Saccharomyces cerevisiae S288C: one gene and its partners. The main gene of each other region encodes a partner of the protein of the gene in region 4 in a complex. Each region holds a gene or a part of one and is shown on either strand. Other genes may lie near its edges. The genes, in order: GCD2, GCN3, GCD6 and GCD7. A codon is read from its position in the direction of its gene.

Region 1 (4,006 bases), on a different chromosome or scaffold from region 4:
AACAAGGTAAGGAACTGGAAGCAGCCTCTAAGTTTTATAAAGCATTGACTGTATACCCTCAGCCAGCCGATTTATTGGGAATTTACCAAAGATCCATTCCTGAAGCCATTTACGAATATATTATATTAATGATTGCCATCTTGCCTCCTGCTAATGTGGCTTCTTTCGTTAAAGGAGTTGTTGGAAGCAAGGCCGAATCTGATGCGGTTGCTGAAGCTAACGATATCGATGACTGAGAGTAACATTTTGCTTGCTTTTTTTCTCCGTTTTTGTTTCTTTTACTCTGTATATAGCCCTATATAATTACATCATTTCTCTAGCCTAAATCTTGTTATATATACCAAGCTTTTTGGAAAGCTAAGGATAAAAACAATTCTTTTCATTAGATGTATTTTTTCATCGTATTAGGTGTAATATATATATATATGTATATATATATATATATATAATATATATGTAGTATACACACGTGGACGACCATTAACGAATGTTGTATATGCTTATGCGGAACCTTTGTACTCTCTTAAAATAACAGGGACAGATGAAGGTGGCAAAGCGCCGAATTCAGTGATCACTTTTTTAATATATTCTGGTGGTGTTAAATCGTATAAGATGTTGACAATATTTAACGAAGGTAACTCTTGCCAACCATCCAAAATATTTTTGCTGTTGCTGTCTTCTTCATTACTGGCGTCCTTGCTTTCTCCTTCAGATCCTTTCTTACCGCCAATTTTATTACCCTTTGGCTTATTCTCCATTGCTAGCTTTTTCTTTTCAAATTTTCTTTCTTTGATAAATTGGTTTAATAACGCACCTTTATTACCGCGTCTCTCGACTGGATTTTCGTAATCTATATTAACCAGGTCATTTGGATCTGCCAGTTCATTAAATGTGACACTATCCAATTGTACTCTTTGTGAAAACTTCAAACTTTCGCAGCAGACTAATACAGGTATATTTCTTCTCTTAGCGCTCATAGCCAACATTGCTGTCCCAGCTCTTGAATATAGGAACCCATTAGATAGGATAGAATGGGCTCCTAAAAACACATAGTCCACATCCATATTGAATATCGTATCCAAACTTGTAATAAGTGCATACATAACATTGACACCAGCATTTCTTAAAGTTTCTGCCATTTTCCGCCCTTCAAATAGTGGTCTCGAATCGACGACAATCACTTTGATGTTTTTCTTTAAACTGATTGCATTATGCAGTAACAGTTCAGTTAGAACCTTTGATGAACCATATGTCACAATAGTAGTAGATTCTTCAATTTGTGTAGAGGCATTGTCTATAATTAGTTGATCAGCCAGTTCGATTTTTTCTTTAGCAAACTGCCCAATTTTCTCACAAAGGTCTTTTTTGGCGGCTTTGTCGGGGGTAGATGGGTCAATTAATGAAATTTCTTGCTTTAACCATCTGATAGCATTACCCATAGTAACACTTAAAGGTCTAGCTTTTTTCAAAAGATCAATCTGGTGTGACAAATAACTTGTTAAGTTACGTGACAAGGTAGTTCCCTTAGGTGTTTGATAGTCTTTGATAACAATTTGGAAAACCTCTAGCATGGCTATGCAACGTGGGATGGATCCCACGATTTTATAGTGTGCTAGATGAGAAGTTAATAATAATATCGACGGATGGATAAGGTCTTTATTCAATAAAAGTTCCTTAACAGACGATATCAAGCTGGAGTTGTCAAATGATTGTTCTAACACGGTAGGGATCACTGACGATATACCGGGAATGACATTAAACTCACCAGCCTCTAACGAGATAGATGCCAATGTCTTGGCAACATCAGAAGCGTTTGATGAAGCAATCTCTTGTTGTATAGCTGTTGGAGTATTTGTTGACGCAGAACTGGTACCGGCAGAGAGTGCTGCAGAAGAGGCAGGAAGAGTCGTTGTTGTTGAAGCTGGAGCTGATGCAGATACAGTAGACGACGCGTTTGGACCCACGGGCATCAAGGAAGAAGCCGTTAATACGTTAGATCCTGATAATGCACTAGCCACCACGGGGACCATCAACCCAGCAGCGGTGATTCGCGAAGTTTTTGGAGATGATACTGCACTGGTTAAAGCTAAAATTGTCGCTCTTCTTTCTTCAGTAGTTTCCAGATGACCAAAAAGTGTGCTCTTTTTCACGTTTCGTTCATTTTGTTTTTTTTTATTGGCATTTTTTTGCTTTTGCTCTCTTTTCTGTTGTTGCTCACGTTGTAGTTGTTTCTTCTCTTTTTTCATTTGTGCTTGTTGTTGCTGTTGTTCAATGGATATACCATTAGCCTGCTTCATTGCAGCTCTCTTTGCAGCTTTTTCTTGTTTCTTTAGTTCTTTTAGCTCCTTGTTTGTTAATTTCTTTTCTCCATTAGCTGCAGCTGTAGTTGTTGGAGTAGCTTGTTTAGCTTTACTTGGCGGTGTAGCCGACCTAGATTTGGCTTCCGATTCGCTCATAGCAATTTGATTATCGACGCTTCTTTGACAACGTATTTCTTACGTGGTGAAAATAAGATCTTATGCACTTACGCTGATTATCTATAGCTGGTGATGCCTTGTTGTAGAATACTCATTTTCACTAAACTCGAAAAAAAAAAATTGAAAAATTGGAAAAAAGCGAGAGGTACTGAAAATTGTGAAGAGATTCCCGGGTAAATATAAACATAATTAATACAATAATAGCAATATATGTGACGAACTGTGTTCTACTTTTTAGTATTTACAGGTATGTTTATTTATATATTTCCTATGGGGTGTTTTGGTACTATTTTTCCTCTTTTTCGGTGGATTCCTGAGGAGGTGGTGTTTCCAACAGTCCCAACGCTTTCAAATGCGTGTCGTATGGATCGCTGGATTCACTTAATGCATTTTGATATTGGCGTATAAATTCTTGCAATTCTAGATATTGAGCATTGTGTTGATCGATGTCCAATAATGTTCTTGCAATAAGGTATATCCCCTCGTATTTGCTTAGCAAGTCCTTTAGTTCCGCGCCACTTGATGAATTGGGGATATCTGGTAAACTAATATCTACAGGTTGCAAGCCCGTCAGCTCTGGGGTAAATCCAATCTGTCTACCTAATGTTGCAACAAGAATATTTGCTAGTCCAGTATTATTTTTTCTATTTAATACCTTTTTCCAAGCAACCTGCAGTTTCCTCTGAGCAATTTCTGCATCTTTATAGTCTTTCAACCTATTTCGATGCAAAGCACACATGATATTAGTATTAAAAAAATGCTCGATATCAAATACGGATGGATTTTGCGCTTTGAGAAACTTGTGCTCAATACCATATAAGAGTCCTACCATGTGCGCATATTTACCGATTTTGAAAAATGACGCAGTCAACATCTTTTGAACATGAATTGGTGAGATGTACGTCCAAATAGCGCGCTTTCTTATGGAGGTCCCTGTCCATTCTTTGAACCAATCTAGTAGTTCTGTCGAGTTGGGTTCAACCGAATAAATAAAATCATTTAACGTTTGCTTCGACAGTGGCTTTACGGGAGGTCTCGGTTGTAATGGTTCCCTTGTTTTTGGATCCCTAATATCTTTAGTTAACAATATCTGAGCATTCTTGGGACGGTAAATGAATGGTTTTAGTTTCGCATCTGTCTTGTGGTATATCAAGAATTCATCCAGCTTTGCTTTCGCAATTTCGCCGGTAGATGCAAAACGTCTCCAAACTGTACTTCTGAACATTTTCTTGTTGGTCGTTGCTCGGTGCAATGCCCTTATCAACAGTATTGGTCCCTCATTAATCACCACTGTTATGGTTCCCATTTTCTTAATAAGAAAGGTTTAGCTTTTTTTCAGCACATTTTCTATTACCCTGCATGGTGAGTATCAAATAAGTGCCAATAAATTGGGTATGAATACAACTAAATACATTGACAAAGTGTTCACAACGCATCGAAGCGCTAGACTTGCAAATGTGATGAGGATATATGATATTTTTGGGATATTTTATTTGTTCTTATATATTAAGTAGTTGATGTTGTCACTG
Region 2 (3,156 bases), on a different chromosome or scaffold from region 4:
CTTCTATAACAAGGATAAGGCTGAGAGCGAATGGAATGGGGTTAATGTCCAAACATTAAAAGGCGTGGGTGTGGAAAACAATGGCCAATATGCAGCATTTGTCAAAGATATGCAGGTTTATTTGGTACCTATTGAGAGGGTAGCACAATTGAAGCCATTTTTCAAATATATCGACGACGCAAATGTAACAAGAAAGCAAGAGGACGCCAGAAGGAACCCTAATCCTTCATCACAACGCGCTCAAGTGGTTACCATGTCTGTAAAGAGCGTCAACGACCCTTCGCAAAACAGACTCACTGGCTCCCTGCTGGCACATAAAGTCGCCGATGAAGAGGCTAATATTGAATTGACCTGGGCAGAAGGCACGTTTGAACAGTTCAAAGATACTATCGTGAAAGAAGCTGAAGATAAAACTTTAGTAGCCTTAGAGAAACAAGAAGACTATATAGATAATCTAGTTTGAAGTACATAATGCATCATGAAGAAAGAACAGCATCAGACATCAGTTTCACATAAAGGATGCTCTTGCGCTTTTTCTCCTTTTCTATTAAGTCATTGCGTGCATATATTATGTGATTTTTTTTAATCATACCACATCTTGATTAACTCTTCTGAAACGGCACTTGGAGTGAGGACCCCTAAATCTGTAATCAATGCAGTAATGTATTCTTGGGCGGTATAGTCGATCGTGGGCCCACGCAATGCATCTTCTAGATCGTCCGTACGACGTGTGAAATCCAAAGGAGGGCCGGCCATAGGTAGATCATCTGAAGACAATGGAAACATACGAACAAATTTGTGACTTTCAGTGACCACATAGAATGGTTTTCTTGCATTATGTGCTAAAACACCCACTGAATAGGTACCCACGAGATTTATAATACCACCTGATTCAGCAACACCCTCAGCACCAACGAACACTTTGTCAACCTTATCGATTACCGCTCCAACCGCGCTATCGACAATAAGAGTCACGGGTATGCCCTTTTGTTCAAGTAAAGTATATAGCTGGTTCCCTTGTTTGCTAGGTCTTGATTCTGTCACCACACATCTGAACCTAATAAACTTATTTGCTGCATGATTTAATAAAGAAAATACTGCTCTCGAATAACCATGTACCAAGATGATATCATCATCAGCTATGAAATCCACCCCTATTTCTGCAATCTTGTTACGCGATTTTTTGGCTCTCGATACAAAAAGCTGGCCATTTTCAATCAAATGTTGTTTACAGTTTTCCCAATCACCGTATAAATGAAGATTTCTTAAGACAAATCTCATGAAAATATCACAACCGGCTCTCAGGGAAACTGAGTTCGGAATGGATTTAATAAGTTCTTCCGTGGAGCTTTTTATTGTATTAATCATTTCTGCCGCTGTTTCTGGTGTTTTTATTCTTAATAGCGTGACCAATGCTTCAATGGCAGCAATCGGCATTGTCATCTCAGTATCTTCTTCTAAAAACCTTAGATAAGTTTCTGTAATATTAAACTCCGACATCCTTCCTCTCGATTTCTGGTATACGTAGGACTTTTAAAATTCTTTCTATCAATTACTATGAAGAAATCTATGATTAATGATGGCTTTGTCACTATTTGAGCAGTATGATTCTCATTTTACACCATAAACTTCACCAATTTTTTCATTTTTTTTTCATTTTTCTTCCGGATGAAATTTATCTATTGTAAAAAAAAAAAAACATTATGCTATGTAGAAAGCTTTAAATATGGCGACAATGTTGCTGTGTTGTATCAAATTCCCTGGATAGAGTCGTGCACTCTTAATGTGGCGAAAATGATGGCATTGCCTCCTTATTCTTTCTCATAAAAGGTATTACTAATCGTTATCTATTACCAACATAAGATATAGCTAGCAATTCTTGTAAGCACAATTACATATGTTTAGTTTTATTTTGAAAAGCAATACAAGCGCAAATTGTTTGGTCTGTTTTGGAGAGATCACCATGTAGCTGGCACTGCTGCAGATTGTCATGTAGTAAACATACTAGTAAAATATTCTTAAAATAATTTGATCAGATCAGTTTTGTTCTTCTATCTCCTATGTCATAACATACCGCTCATTTTTACTATCGTTATGTTTTTCATTCAGAAATTTTATTTTTCTTTAGGTCTTGAGTATCGACTTCCACAACATTGGATGACTGTACCTCACGATTTGTGTATTCTATTTATGCAGTATGTAATAACATATTAGTGTCACGACCGCTAGCCAATATACGATAGTGGATCTTTATTCCAAAAAATACTTATCTAACATGTTTAACAACAGATCAGATACTAAAACTTTTTGTCTGAATAAGAATTAACTACCATCTATGCACTAGCACACAAATTAGCAGTATGTTCTCATACACAGTGTAAGAAGATGACATTAAGAATGAGAAACGGTTATTAAATATAATAGAAGCTGAAATGCAAGCATTGATAACGTAACAAGATAAAGAATAAGCATATAAAGTAAAAAAACGAGACAATAACATTACTATTCATGAATACCGATTCCTTCTTCCGCATTTCTAATATCCTCGAAGAGAACTTTTAGTATATTGTGTATCATAGCCTTCAACAATAATGGAACACCAGTAATTATCATATTATTCAAACATTTCTCAATGATAGCTTTTATTCACAATGGAACCCAACAATTATTTCAAAATTCACACATTTCTTACTTCTTAGAGCAGGATTAGTTGGGTCTGGTAATTTGAACTACTATATTAGGTAAAAAATCATGCAATAAATAGTGCTGATACTTAGGGTTCTCAATTTTTAATGTCTCTTAATAATTCTTGTTCCTCGTGGCCCAATGGTCACGGCGTCTGGCTACGAACCAGAAGATTCCAGGTTCAAGTCCTGGCGGGGAAGAATTTTTTTACTTTTATAATTTTCTTATTATCTTTTCAGTTATTGAGTAAAAATATTATAATATTGGAAATGCTACGTTGCCAGTCCTGGTGCCGTACAATGCCGTATTATTTTAGCAATTCGTCATCAGGTTTCCGAGGCATTGTTACACCGTTTGGGAAAAATAAGATGTATGCACAATGGTGTATCTAAATTCAACATAAAAATAAAAAAAACAAAATGACAAACGGCAATAAAGAGACATTGTGTGCAAAGAAAGGGCATATATATC
Region 3 (4,563 bases), on a different chromosome or scaffold from region 4:
CCTAAAGATGACTTGACGACGTTAGCCACAGCCATAGTAGCCAAAACATTCTGATTACGAATATCATCACCACTTATTTTTTCACCTCCTAGGAAAAGGGTATCTGAGCGCGAGTTATTGAATAATTGGGACATCGCTAAGTTATTACAAATATAAAAGTCTTCTGTCTATTGTTATTGTCCCTTTCTTGTACTCTCTCAGTGGCCTCTCTTTTGCTTAAGTTATTTACTCTTCATGTGATACCACCGCATTTCAATTTTTTTTTTTTTCAGTTCTTTGCCACTTAGGACAAGGTCCCTCGGCAAGTGAAAAAAAAAAATCTGAGATTATTATTTCAGTAGTACTACTGAGGATAAAAACTAATATGATAAAAAATATATATATATTTGCTTTTTGCTTCTGTAACATGTAAATTACTAAATCTATATAGCGCTCACCTTTTTCTCATATTAAAGCCTTTTTATGGTAATACATGATTATGCAGGGTACTGCGTGGACTTTTATTCCTCTTCTGAGGAAGATTCTTCGTCAGCATTCTGTAACCACTCAACCCACTTTACAGTTAATTTCTTGACTTCATCATAGCGAGGGTCAGTAGAAACATTATCCCACCATTTATAAATGACATCCTCCTCAATTATGTCATTATCGTATAGAGAAACCAATGCACTAAATAGAATCAAATCCGGTTTGTCAAAACTCTGTTCTACAATTTTTTCCATTATGATGTTCATCAAATCAATATACTCTTCTTCATCAAAGGCTTGTCTCTTGAACAACAGTCCCCACTGATTAAAAACCTTCACCACAGCGTCCTTGGGACCTAATGTTTGAGTTGCAATAAAGTGGTAAACTCTTCTCAATAATGCAGTTATTGTTGCTATTCTCACCTCATGATATGTCACGTTCATACTCATTCTCAAGGTGTTCAATTCTAATAATGCTGTGTCAAGATCATGATTGTTTTCCATAGCACGCTCCACGGTGGCAATACCTTCTTTCTCAAAATCTTCGTCCTCAAATTCAGAATCAATTTCTTCTCTATCCGTGTATATACTATTGACAGACATCGTTCTTCTTTTCTTTGTCTTTTTAGTGGCGGAAGAAATTGAATCGTCACTTAAGTATAACTCATCTAATTGGTTACTCAAAGTGTTTATTTCTTTGCAGGCTTCTGTAGAACTATCTTCATCGTCAGACACCTCGCTTTCGTAAATATAACCAACACCCTTATCTCCAACAATAGAAACGGCTAGTGTCTGATCATCAAGGTCTTGGTCAAACTGCTCATTGCTTTCATTATCATACATTCTTGAGCCGGCATTTTTTAATGGACTGGCAGATATTTTTGTGTTTCTATCTAAATCCATATTATCATCAATTTTAACGTTGAAACCAATTATACAGCCATCATTTAGGCGTACATTACTCCCTAACGTGGCATTAGAGGCAATTAATGAATGGTCAATTATACTGTTATTTCCGATGATACAGTCATCCCAAATGAAACTGTTCTTGATTCTAATATTTTCACCGATTTGGCAGTTCCTTCCAATCACGGAATTCTCAATTTTCGTACCCTCTCCGATTTTTGTTCCTGATCCAATTGCAGTGCACTTACCAATTTTACAGGATTGGGCCAAAACAACGTCTTTTTCCTTGTATATATGTCTTGATTCATAAGAATACGTTTGATCGTCCTGTATGTTAGAGTCTAAGACCAAGGGATAACACCATCTACCTAAAAAGTCTTGAGAAATGGTGTCGTAAGTTTGCCAACTTTCAACTCTTACAGCATATTCGTCCGTCAAATAGGCATATATATGCTTTCCCAATATATCGCTTGAAATGACACCTTTAACAAAGTCTGTCCTTAATGATTGGTAGTCAAAATTTTCTTGAAATATCAAAGGTACATGAGATGTACAAATGTCAATTCTACAATCGATGAGGTCATTCCTTATGACAAATTCATCGACATTATCCAACAATTCTGGGTCAATCTGAATGGAAGTCTTCTCTCTAGAGCTTGGTAATGGTAAATCTTGGTAATAAATACACCTACTGGTGGATTTGTCTAAGACAAATGCGGCAGGCTCAATAGTTCTTGTTTTTGGATAGGTACTCGCTTTGCTCAAACACATTGTCGAGATGTGATCTTTATCTTGCAAATGCATTTTTTTGTGAAATTCTAGCATTTTGCTGAAATCGATGTTAGTCAATACATCACCACTGACTAAAATAAAATCTCCAGTAATGATACCTCTATTATCTAGATCTCTCATAACATCACCCGTACATCTAGCTTCTGGAGACATAATGGTGGTAATTTTAAATGGAGACCAAGGCAAGTTCCACTTAGAATTCTCAATATAGTCATTAATTTGGTTGGCATGAGAAGAGCAAATTAAGAAAACTTCATGTACGCCAGCCTTAGCCAAAAATTCTAAGGTGTATTCAATGAGAGGTACGTTAGCCAGTGGCAGCAAACACCTTGGCTTGACAGCTGTCAGTGGCATAAACCTAGTTTCATAAGAGTCTGTCAAGACAACGGCCTGGAGACGATCTTCAACATCCATATCAGAGTTCTTTCCATGGTTGCCTAGTCCACTTTTCTTTTGTCCCTTTTTTCCAGCCATCTTTTGCCTTATGAGTGGTTTCTATTCTATTTTTAACACAAGACCACTTTTAGTTATTTTTATACTTATCCCACAAGGTGGTCCATCTGCCATCTTTGAATTGGTGATTTAACTCTTCGCATTAATCTACTGAAAAAAAAAAAAAAAAAAAAAAGAACTGAAAACCATCTAAAGTCAAATAAGCTCATGTAATACGGGCATGTTGCAAACGCGTGTGAAAAAAAAAGAGAAAGTGCTCGAGGTGGGGTTTGAACCCACGACGGTCGCGTTGCTTTTAAAGGCCTGTTTGAAAGGTCTTTGGCACAGAAACTTCGGAAACCGAATGTTGCTATAAGCACGAAGCTCTAACCACTGAGCTACACGAGCATTTTCGAAAGAGACGTAAATAACATTGTTATTTATACTGGAATTAGTACTAATAATTTTATTAAAAAAAAAAATAGCTCTTTCTGAGAATTCTTTGAATTTTGGGAAAATTGTCGGGATATTAGTGTTAAAGAGGCCATTGTTGGAATAAAAATCAACTATCATCTACTAACTAGTATTTACGTTACTAGTATATTATCATATACGGTGTTAGAAGATGACGCAAATGATGAGAAATAGTCATCTAAATTAGTGGAAGCTGAAACGCAAGGATTGATAATGTAATAGGATCAATGAATATTAACATATAAAACGATGATAATAATATTTATAGAATTGTGTAGAATTGCAGATTCCCTTTTATGGATTCCTAAATCCTCGAGGAGAACTTCTAGTATATTCTGTATACCTAATATTATAGCCTTTATCAACAATGGAATCCCAACAATTATCTAATTACCCACATATATCTCATGGTAGCGCCTGTGCTTCGGTTACTTCTAAGGAAGTCCACACAAATCAAGATCCGTTAGACGTTTCAGCTTCCAAAATTCAAGAATATGATAAGGCTTCCACTAAGGCTAACTCTCAACAGACAACAACACCTGCTTCATCAGCTGTTCCAGAGAACCCCCATCATGCCTCTCCTCAACCTGCTTCAGTACCACCTCCACAGAATGGGCCGTACCCACAGCAGTGCATGATGACCCAAAACCAAGCCAATCCATCTGGTTGGTCATTTTACGGACACCCATCTATGATTCCGTATACACCTTATCAAATGTCGCCTATGTACTTTCCACCTGGGCCACAATCACAGTTTCCGCAGTATCCATCATCAGTTGGAACGCCTCTGAGCACTCCATCACCTGAGTCAGGTAATACATTTACTGATTCATCCTCAGCGGACTCTGATATGACATCCACTAAAAAATATGTCAGACCACCACCAATGTTAACCTCACCTAATGACTTTCCAAATTGGGTTAAAACATACATCAAATTTTTACAAAACTCGAATCTCGGTGGTATTATTCCGACAGTAAACGGAAAACCCGTACGTCAGATCACTGATGATGAACTCACCTTCTTGTATAACACTTTTCAAATATTTGCTCCCTCTCAATTCCTACCTACCTGGGTCAAAGACATCCTATCCGTTGATTATACGGATATCATGAAAATTCTTTCCAAAAGTATTGAAAAAATGCAATCTGATACCCAAGAGGCAAACGACATTGTGACCCTGGCAAATTTGCAATATAATGGCAGTACACCTGCAGATGCATTTGAAACAAAAGTCACAAACATTATCGACAGACTGAACAATAATGGCATTCATATCAATAACAAGGTCGCATGCCAATTAATTATGAGAGGTCTATCTGGCGAATATAAATTTTTACGCTACACACGTCATCGACATCTAAATATGACAGTCGCTGAACTGTTCTTAGATATCCATGCTATTTATGAAGAACAACAGGGATCGAGAAACAGCAAACCTAATTACAGGAGAAATCGGAGTGATGAGAAGAATGATTCTCGCAGCTATACG
Region 4 (3,240 bases):
AAAGAAAGGTCAAGGCCAAGACTATCACTTTCCACAGAAAGAAAAACTTGCAATACTACGATATTTCTGCCAAGTCCAACTACAACTTTGAAAAGCCTTTCTTATGGTTGGCCAGAAAATTGGCTGGTAACCCACAATTAGAATTTGTTGCTTCTCCAGCTTTAGCCCCACCAGAAGTCCAAGTCGATGAACAATTGATGCAACAATACCAACAAGAAATGGAACAAGCTACTGCTTTGCCATTGCCTGATGAAGATGATGCTGATTTATAAGGGACAAACGAGAACAAGCTTTCTTTTTTCCCTACCCTAAACTGTATACATATTTACATTCATCTCGATATAGAAATTCAATAAAAATCCACATGATTTTGAAGATTTTATAATTGCAACAAGAAAACACAAACTAACTGGTACTCCTGTCTTTTATAAAACAGATTTAAATATATAACAAATAGTTGAATGTGAATATGCTGTGATTTAAGTATATTTAAACGTATTTGGCTTGTCTAATATTATATTTTTTAGATCGTTTATGGATCGTTTCAAACGGATGTAGGAGCACACGTAACAATTAGATTATATCTTTGAACATAAAACCAATAGCCTTAAAATCAAAGAAACGTCTCCTTCAACTTGCGTTAAAGGCATACCAAAGCAAGCTTATTCAACCATGGTTACCCTTGAATACAATGCAAACAGTAAACTGATCACTGCGAGTGATGCTGTTGTTGCACTATCTACCGAAACTAATATCGATCAAATAAATGTTCTCACTACATCTTTGATTGGAGAAACCAACCCAAATTTTACACCACAACCGAATGAAGCTCTAAGCAAAATGATCAAGGGTTTATTTGAAAGTGGTATGAAGAATTTACAACAAAAAAAATTGAATGAGGCATTGAAGAATGTTTCTTTAGCAATCGAAATGGCACAAAGAAAAAGAGCGCCTTGGGAAGCTTTTGCTATTCAGCTACCAGAGCTACACTTTATGCTTCGTAGTAAAATAGATTTATGTTTAATACTCGGAAAGCATTTAGAGGCGTTGCAAGACTTGGATTTCTTACTTGGTACGGGACTTATCCAACCAGACGTATTTGTCAGGAAGGCGGACTGTTTGCTAAAATTGAGACAGTGGGAAGAGGCTAGGGCAACATGCGAGAGAGGTTTAGCTTTAGCCCCAGAGGATATGAAACTTAGAGCCCTTTTAATAGAAACTGCAAGAAATCTGGCCGAATATAACGGTGAATAAGGTGCATAACCGAAGATATTTTAGCCTTTTCTTGATATGTCTCTATGCTACACACGACTACATAGCAAGAAATTTTAGATAGATTCAAAAACACATAGCAAGCCCATTATCATATATACTAAGGAATAGCCTTTATGAAAGGCTTTGAACTATACAGCTTGAGTATATGATACCTCTGCTTCCCAACCGCAAGCTTTTTTTCTTCGTGATGCTGAAAAAAAAAAATGGACATAGAAAAAACCTTCATAAATGAAACAGACCATTCATTACTCGTGCGGAACCAGTAAACACAACACGCCAACTTTCGAACTTTTGCCCAACATAAGATGTCCTCTCAAGCATTCACTTCAGTACATCCGAATGCGGCAACATCTGATGTGAATGTTACCATTGACACTTTCGTTGCTAAGTTAAAAAGAAGACAAGTGCAAGGTTCATACGCCATCGCCTTGGAAACTTTACAACTGTTAATGCGATTTATCTCTGCAGCTCGTTGGAACCATGTTAATGACCTTATTGAACAAATCAGAGATTTAGGTAATAGTCTAGAAAAAGCTCATCCTACTGCTTTCAGTTGCGGTAACGTAATTAGAAGAATACTGGCTGTTTTGAGGGATGAAGTAGAAGAAGACACTATGAGCACAACTGTCACATCCACATCCGTTGCTGAACCTTTGATTTCCTCTATGTTTAATTTATTACAGAAACCGGAGCAACCTCATCAGAATAGAAAAAATAGTTCAGGGAGCTCTAGTATGAAAACCAAGACTGATTACCGTCAAGTAGCCATTCAGGGTATCAAGGATCTTATAGATGAGATAAAAAACATTGATGAAGGTATTCAGCAAATTGCTATTGATTTGATTCACGATCATGAGATTTTATTAACTCCCACACCTGATTCAAAAACCGTATTAAAATTTCTGATTACTGCTCGCGAACGTAGTAATAGAACATTTACGGTTTTAGTTACAGAGGGGTTCCCTAATAACACCAAGAATGCACATGAGTTTGCCAAAAAATTAGCACAGCACAACATAGAAACCCTAGTAGTCCCAGACTCAGCTGTTTTTGCTTTAATGTCCCGTGTGGGTAAGGTTATTATCGGCACTAAAGCCGTTTTTGTCAATGGGGGGACTATCTCGTCAAATTCAGGTGTATCATCCGTTTGTGAATGCGCCCGAGAATTTAGAACCCCTGTATTTGCTGTTGCAGGTTTGTATAAGCTTTCTCCTCTATATCCGTTCGACGTAGAGAAGTTTGTCGAATTTGGTGGGTCCCAACGTATATTACCTAGAATGGATCCAAGAAAAAGATTAGATACAGTTAATCAAATTACCGATTATGTTCCGCCTGAAAATATTGATATCTACATTACAAACGTCGGTGGGTTCAATCCAAGTTTTATATATCGTATTGCGTGGGATAATTACAAGCAAATTGATGTGCATTTGGATAAAAATAAGGCGTGATGATGTGTCTTTTGTACATTACTCATGAAAATAAATAAAAATCTTGTAGATCAAAACAATTTTTTTATTATTAATTATTAGTATATAATCAGAATATTTACGTATCCTTGAATATGTTAAAAGACTAATACATAAAGAGCATCTTAGCATTAACTTTTTACTTCTCTACAAAGTCTGGCAATTTGACTCATTTTTTTTTTTTAGTTGAGTGTCTCCTCGTAATGCCATCTTGTCGCTTTTGCATAATAGAAAAACAGGAAAACATTGAAAAAATAAAAAAATAAGGGAAATATGTATCGTATACAAAAATACAGCTAAAGCTTGAACTGAAGTAGAAAATGATACCAAAGCTTATAGTTTTTGGAGGCAATGGATTTTTAGGTAAAAGAATTTGTCAAGAAGCAGTGACTTCGGGCTACCAAGTCGTTTCTGTGTCAAGGTCCGGTAAAGCTCCTCATAGCAATGAATTAAATGATAAGCAATGGATGCAGGAGGTCCAATGGACCGCTGCTGA

The links.
Region 1: the proteins of GCD7 (region 4) and GCD2 are in contact, whole or in part, in a cryo-EM structure (PDB 6I7T), measured with the Saccharomyces cerevisiae proteins. Residues at the interface, in NP_013394.1 of Saccharomyces cerevisiae: His183 (codon at 2,127), Ile185 (codon at 2,133), Thr212 (codon at 2,214), Glu217 (codon at 2,229), Phe219 (codon at 2,235), Pro220 (codon at 2,238), Lys224 (codon at 2,250), His227 (codon at 2,259), Glu228 (codon at 2,262), Lys231 (codon at 2,271), Ala234 (codon at 2,280), Asn237 (codon at 2,289), Ile238 (codon at 2,292), Glu239 (codon at 2,295), Thr240 (codon at 2,298), Leu241 (codon at 2,301), Val242 (codon at 2,304), Val243 (codon at 2,307), Pro244 (codon at 2,310), Asp245 (codon at 2,313), Ser246 (codon at 2,316), Ala247 (codon at 2,319), Val248 (codon at 2,322), Phe249 (codon at 2,325), Ala250 (codon at 2,328), Leu251 (codon at 2,331), Ser253 (codon at 2,337), Arg254 (codon at 2,340), Ser276 (codon at 2,406), Gly277 (codon at 2,409); in NP_011597.1 of Saccharomyces cerevisiae: Leu247 (codon at 1,718), Glu248 (codon at 1,715), Gln249 (codon at 1,712), Tyr403 (codon at 1,250), Ser431 (codon at 1,166), Arg432 (codon at 1,163), Phe435 (codon at 1,154), Arg438 (codon at 1,145), Ala441 (codon at 1,136), Glu442 (codon at 1,133), Arg445 (codon at 1,124), Asn446 (codon at 1,121), Val451 (codon at 1,106), Met452 (codon at 1,103), Tyr453 (codon at 1,100), Ala454 (codon at 1,097), Leu455 (codon at 1,094), Ile456 (codon at 1,091), Thr457 (codon at 1,088), Ser458 (codon at 1,085), Asp460 (codon at 1,079), Thr461 (codon at 1,076), Asn464 (codon at 1,067), Ala487 (codon at 998), Gly488 (codon at 995), Ala490 (codon at 989), Met491 (codon at 986), Met494 (codon at 977), Arg498 (codon at 965), Ser520 (codon at 899).
Region 2: the proteins of GCD7 (region 4) and GCN3 are in contact, whole or in part, in a cryo-EM structure (PDB 6QG2), measured with the Saccharomyces cerevisiae proteins. Residues at the interface, in NP_013394.1 of Saccharomyces cerevisiae: Val113 (codon at 1,917), Pro116 (codon at 1,926), Ser119 (codon at 1,935), Ser120 (codon at 1,938), Met121 (codon at 1,941), Phe122 (codon at 1,944), Leu125 (codon at 1,953), Gln126 (codon at 1,956), Lys127 (codon at 1,959), Val267 (codon at 2,379), Asn268 (codon at 2,382), Glu283 (codon at 2,427), Arg286 (codon at 2,436), Arg289 (codon at 2,445), Tyr305 (codon at 2,493), Phe307 (codon at 2,499), Asp308 (codon at 2,502), Lys311 (codon at 2,511), Pro343 (codon at 2,607), Glu344 (codon at 2,610), Asn345 (codon at 2,613), Pro358 (codon at 2,652), Ser359 (codon at 2,655), Phe360 (codon at 2,658), Tyr362 (codon at 2,664), Arg363 (codon at 2,667), Trp366 (codon at 2,676), His375 (codon at 2,703); in NP_012951.1 of Saccharomyces cerevisiae: Phe76 (codon at 1,275), Arg79 (codon at 1,266), His82 (codon at 1,257), Leu83 (codon at 1,254), Tyr84 (codon at 1,251), His93 (codon at 1,224), Asn97 (codon at 1,212), Leu100 (codon at 1,203), Ile115 (codon at 1,158), Asp118 (codon at 1,149), Phe119 (codon at 1,146), Ile120 (codon at 1,143), Ala121 (codon at 1,140), His221 (codon at 840), Arg224 (codon at 831), Glu278 (codon at 669), Thr281 (codon at 660), Ala282 (codon at 657), Gly288 (codon at 639), Val289 (codon at 636), Leu290 (codon at 633), Thr291 (codon at 630), Pro292 (codon at 627), Ser293 (codon at 624), Ala294 (codon at 621), Ser296 (codon at 615), Glu297 (codon at 612), Glu298 (codon at 609), Lys301 (codon at 600), Met302 (codon at 597).
Region 3: the proteins of GCD7 (region 4) and GCD6 are in contact, whole or in part, in a cryo-EM structure (PDB 6QG2), measured with the Saccharomyces cerevisiae proteins. Residues at the interface, in NP_013394.1 of Saccharomyces cerevisiae: Ser16 (codon at 1,626), Asp23 (codon at 1,647), Lys30 (codon at 1,668), Arg31 (codon at 1,671), Ala77 (codon at 1,809), His78 (codon at 1,812), Pro79 (codon at 1,815), Asn221 (codon at 2,241), Glu310 (codon at 2,508), Glu314 (codon at 2,520), Phe315 (codon at 2,523), Gly316 (codon at 2,526), Gly317 (codon at 2,529), Ser318 (codon at 2,532), Gln319 (codon at 2,535), Leu322 (codon at 2,544), Pro323 (codon at 2,547), Arg324 (codon at 2,550), Met325 (codon at 2,553), Asp326 (codon at 2,556), Pro327 (codon at 2,559), Arg328 (codon at 2,562), Lys329 (codon at 2,565), Asp332 (codon at 2,574), Thr333 (codon at 2,577), Ile337 (codon at 2,589); in NP_010497.3 of Saccharomyces cerevisiae: Glu65 (codon at 2,447), Trp99 (codon at 2,345), Ser172 (codon at 2,126), Thr173 (codon at 2,123), Tyr174 (codon at 2,120), Lys176 (codon at 2,114), Thr177 (codon at 2,111), Asp297 (codon at 1,751), Gly300 (codon at 1,742), Arg301 (codon at 1,739), Trp302 (codon at 1,736), Tyr304 (codon at 1,730), Asp309 (codon at 1,715), Ser310 (codon at 1,712), Asn311 (codon at 1,709), Ile312 (codon at 1,706), Asp314 (codon at 1,700), Tyr320 (codon at 1,682), Glu321 (codon at 1,679), Ser322 (codon at 1,676), His324 (codon at 1,670), Lys341 (codon at 1,619), Cys342 (codon at 1,616).

What each region holds. Positions count from the first base shown.
Region 1 is NC_001139.9:644,360-648,365, forward strand, and holds GCD2 (translation initiation factor eIF2B subunit delta), read right to left. Parts: upstream 2,457-4,006; coding exon 501-2,456; downstream 1-500. Other genes in the region: TOM complex receptor protein TOM20, read left to right, coding at 1-236; mitochondrial 37S ribosomal protein mS44 MRP13, read right to left, coding at 2,764-3,783. UniProt on the Saccharomyces cerevisiae protein: Acts as a component of the translation initiation factor 2B (eIF2B) complex, which catalyzes the exchange of GDP for GTP on the eukaryotic initiation factor 2 (eIF2) complex gamma subunit.
Region 2 is NC_001143.9:488,156-491,311, forward strand, and holds GCN3 (translation initiation factor eIF2B subunit alpha), read right to left. Parts: upstream 1,501-3,156; coding exon 583-1,500; downstream 1-582. Other genes in the region: RPC37 (DNA-directed RNA polymerase III subunit C37), read left to right, coding at 1-463. UniProt on the Saccharomyces cerevisiae protein: Acts as a component of the translation initiation factor 2B (eIF2B) complex, which catalyzes the exchange of GDP for GTP on the eukaryotic initiation factor 2 (eIF2) complex gamma subunit.
Region 3 is NC_001136.10:882,803-887,365, reverse strand, and holds GCD6 (translation initiation factor eIF2B catalytic subunit epsilon), read right to left. Parts: upstream 2,640-4,563; coding exon 501-2,639; downstream 1-500. Other genes in the region: chaperonin-containing T-complex alpha subunit TCP1, read right to left, coding at 1-134; YDR210C-C (gag protein), read left to right, coding at 3,439-4,563. UniProt on the Saccharomyces cerevisiae protein: Acts as a catalytic component of the translation initiation factor 2B (eIF2B) complex, which catalyzes the exchange of GDP for GTP on eukaryotic initiation factor 2 (eIF2) and is regulated by phosphorylated eIF2.
Region 4 is NC_001144.5:717,803-721,042, reverse strand, and holds GCD7 (translation initiation factor eIF2B subunit beta), read left to right. Parts: upstream 1-1,580; coding exon 1,581-2,726; downstream 2,727-3,240. Other genes in the region: Ran GTPase GSP1, read left to right, coding at 1-272; Sec63 complex subunit SEC72, read left to right, coding at 673-1,254; ubiquinone biosynthesis protein COQ11, read left to right, coding at 3,065-3,240. UniProt on the Saccharomyces cerevisiae protein: Acts as a component of the translation initiation factor 2B (eIF2B) complex, which catalyzes the exchange of GDP for GTP on the eukaryotic initiation factor 2 (eIF2) complex gamma subunit.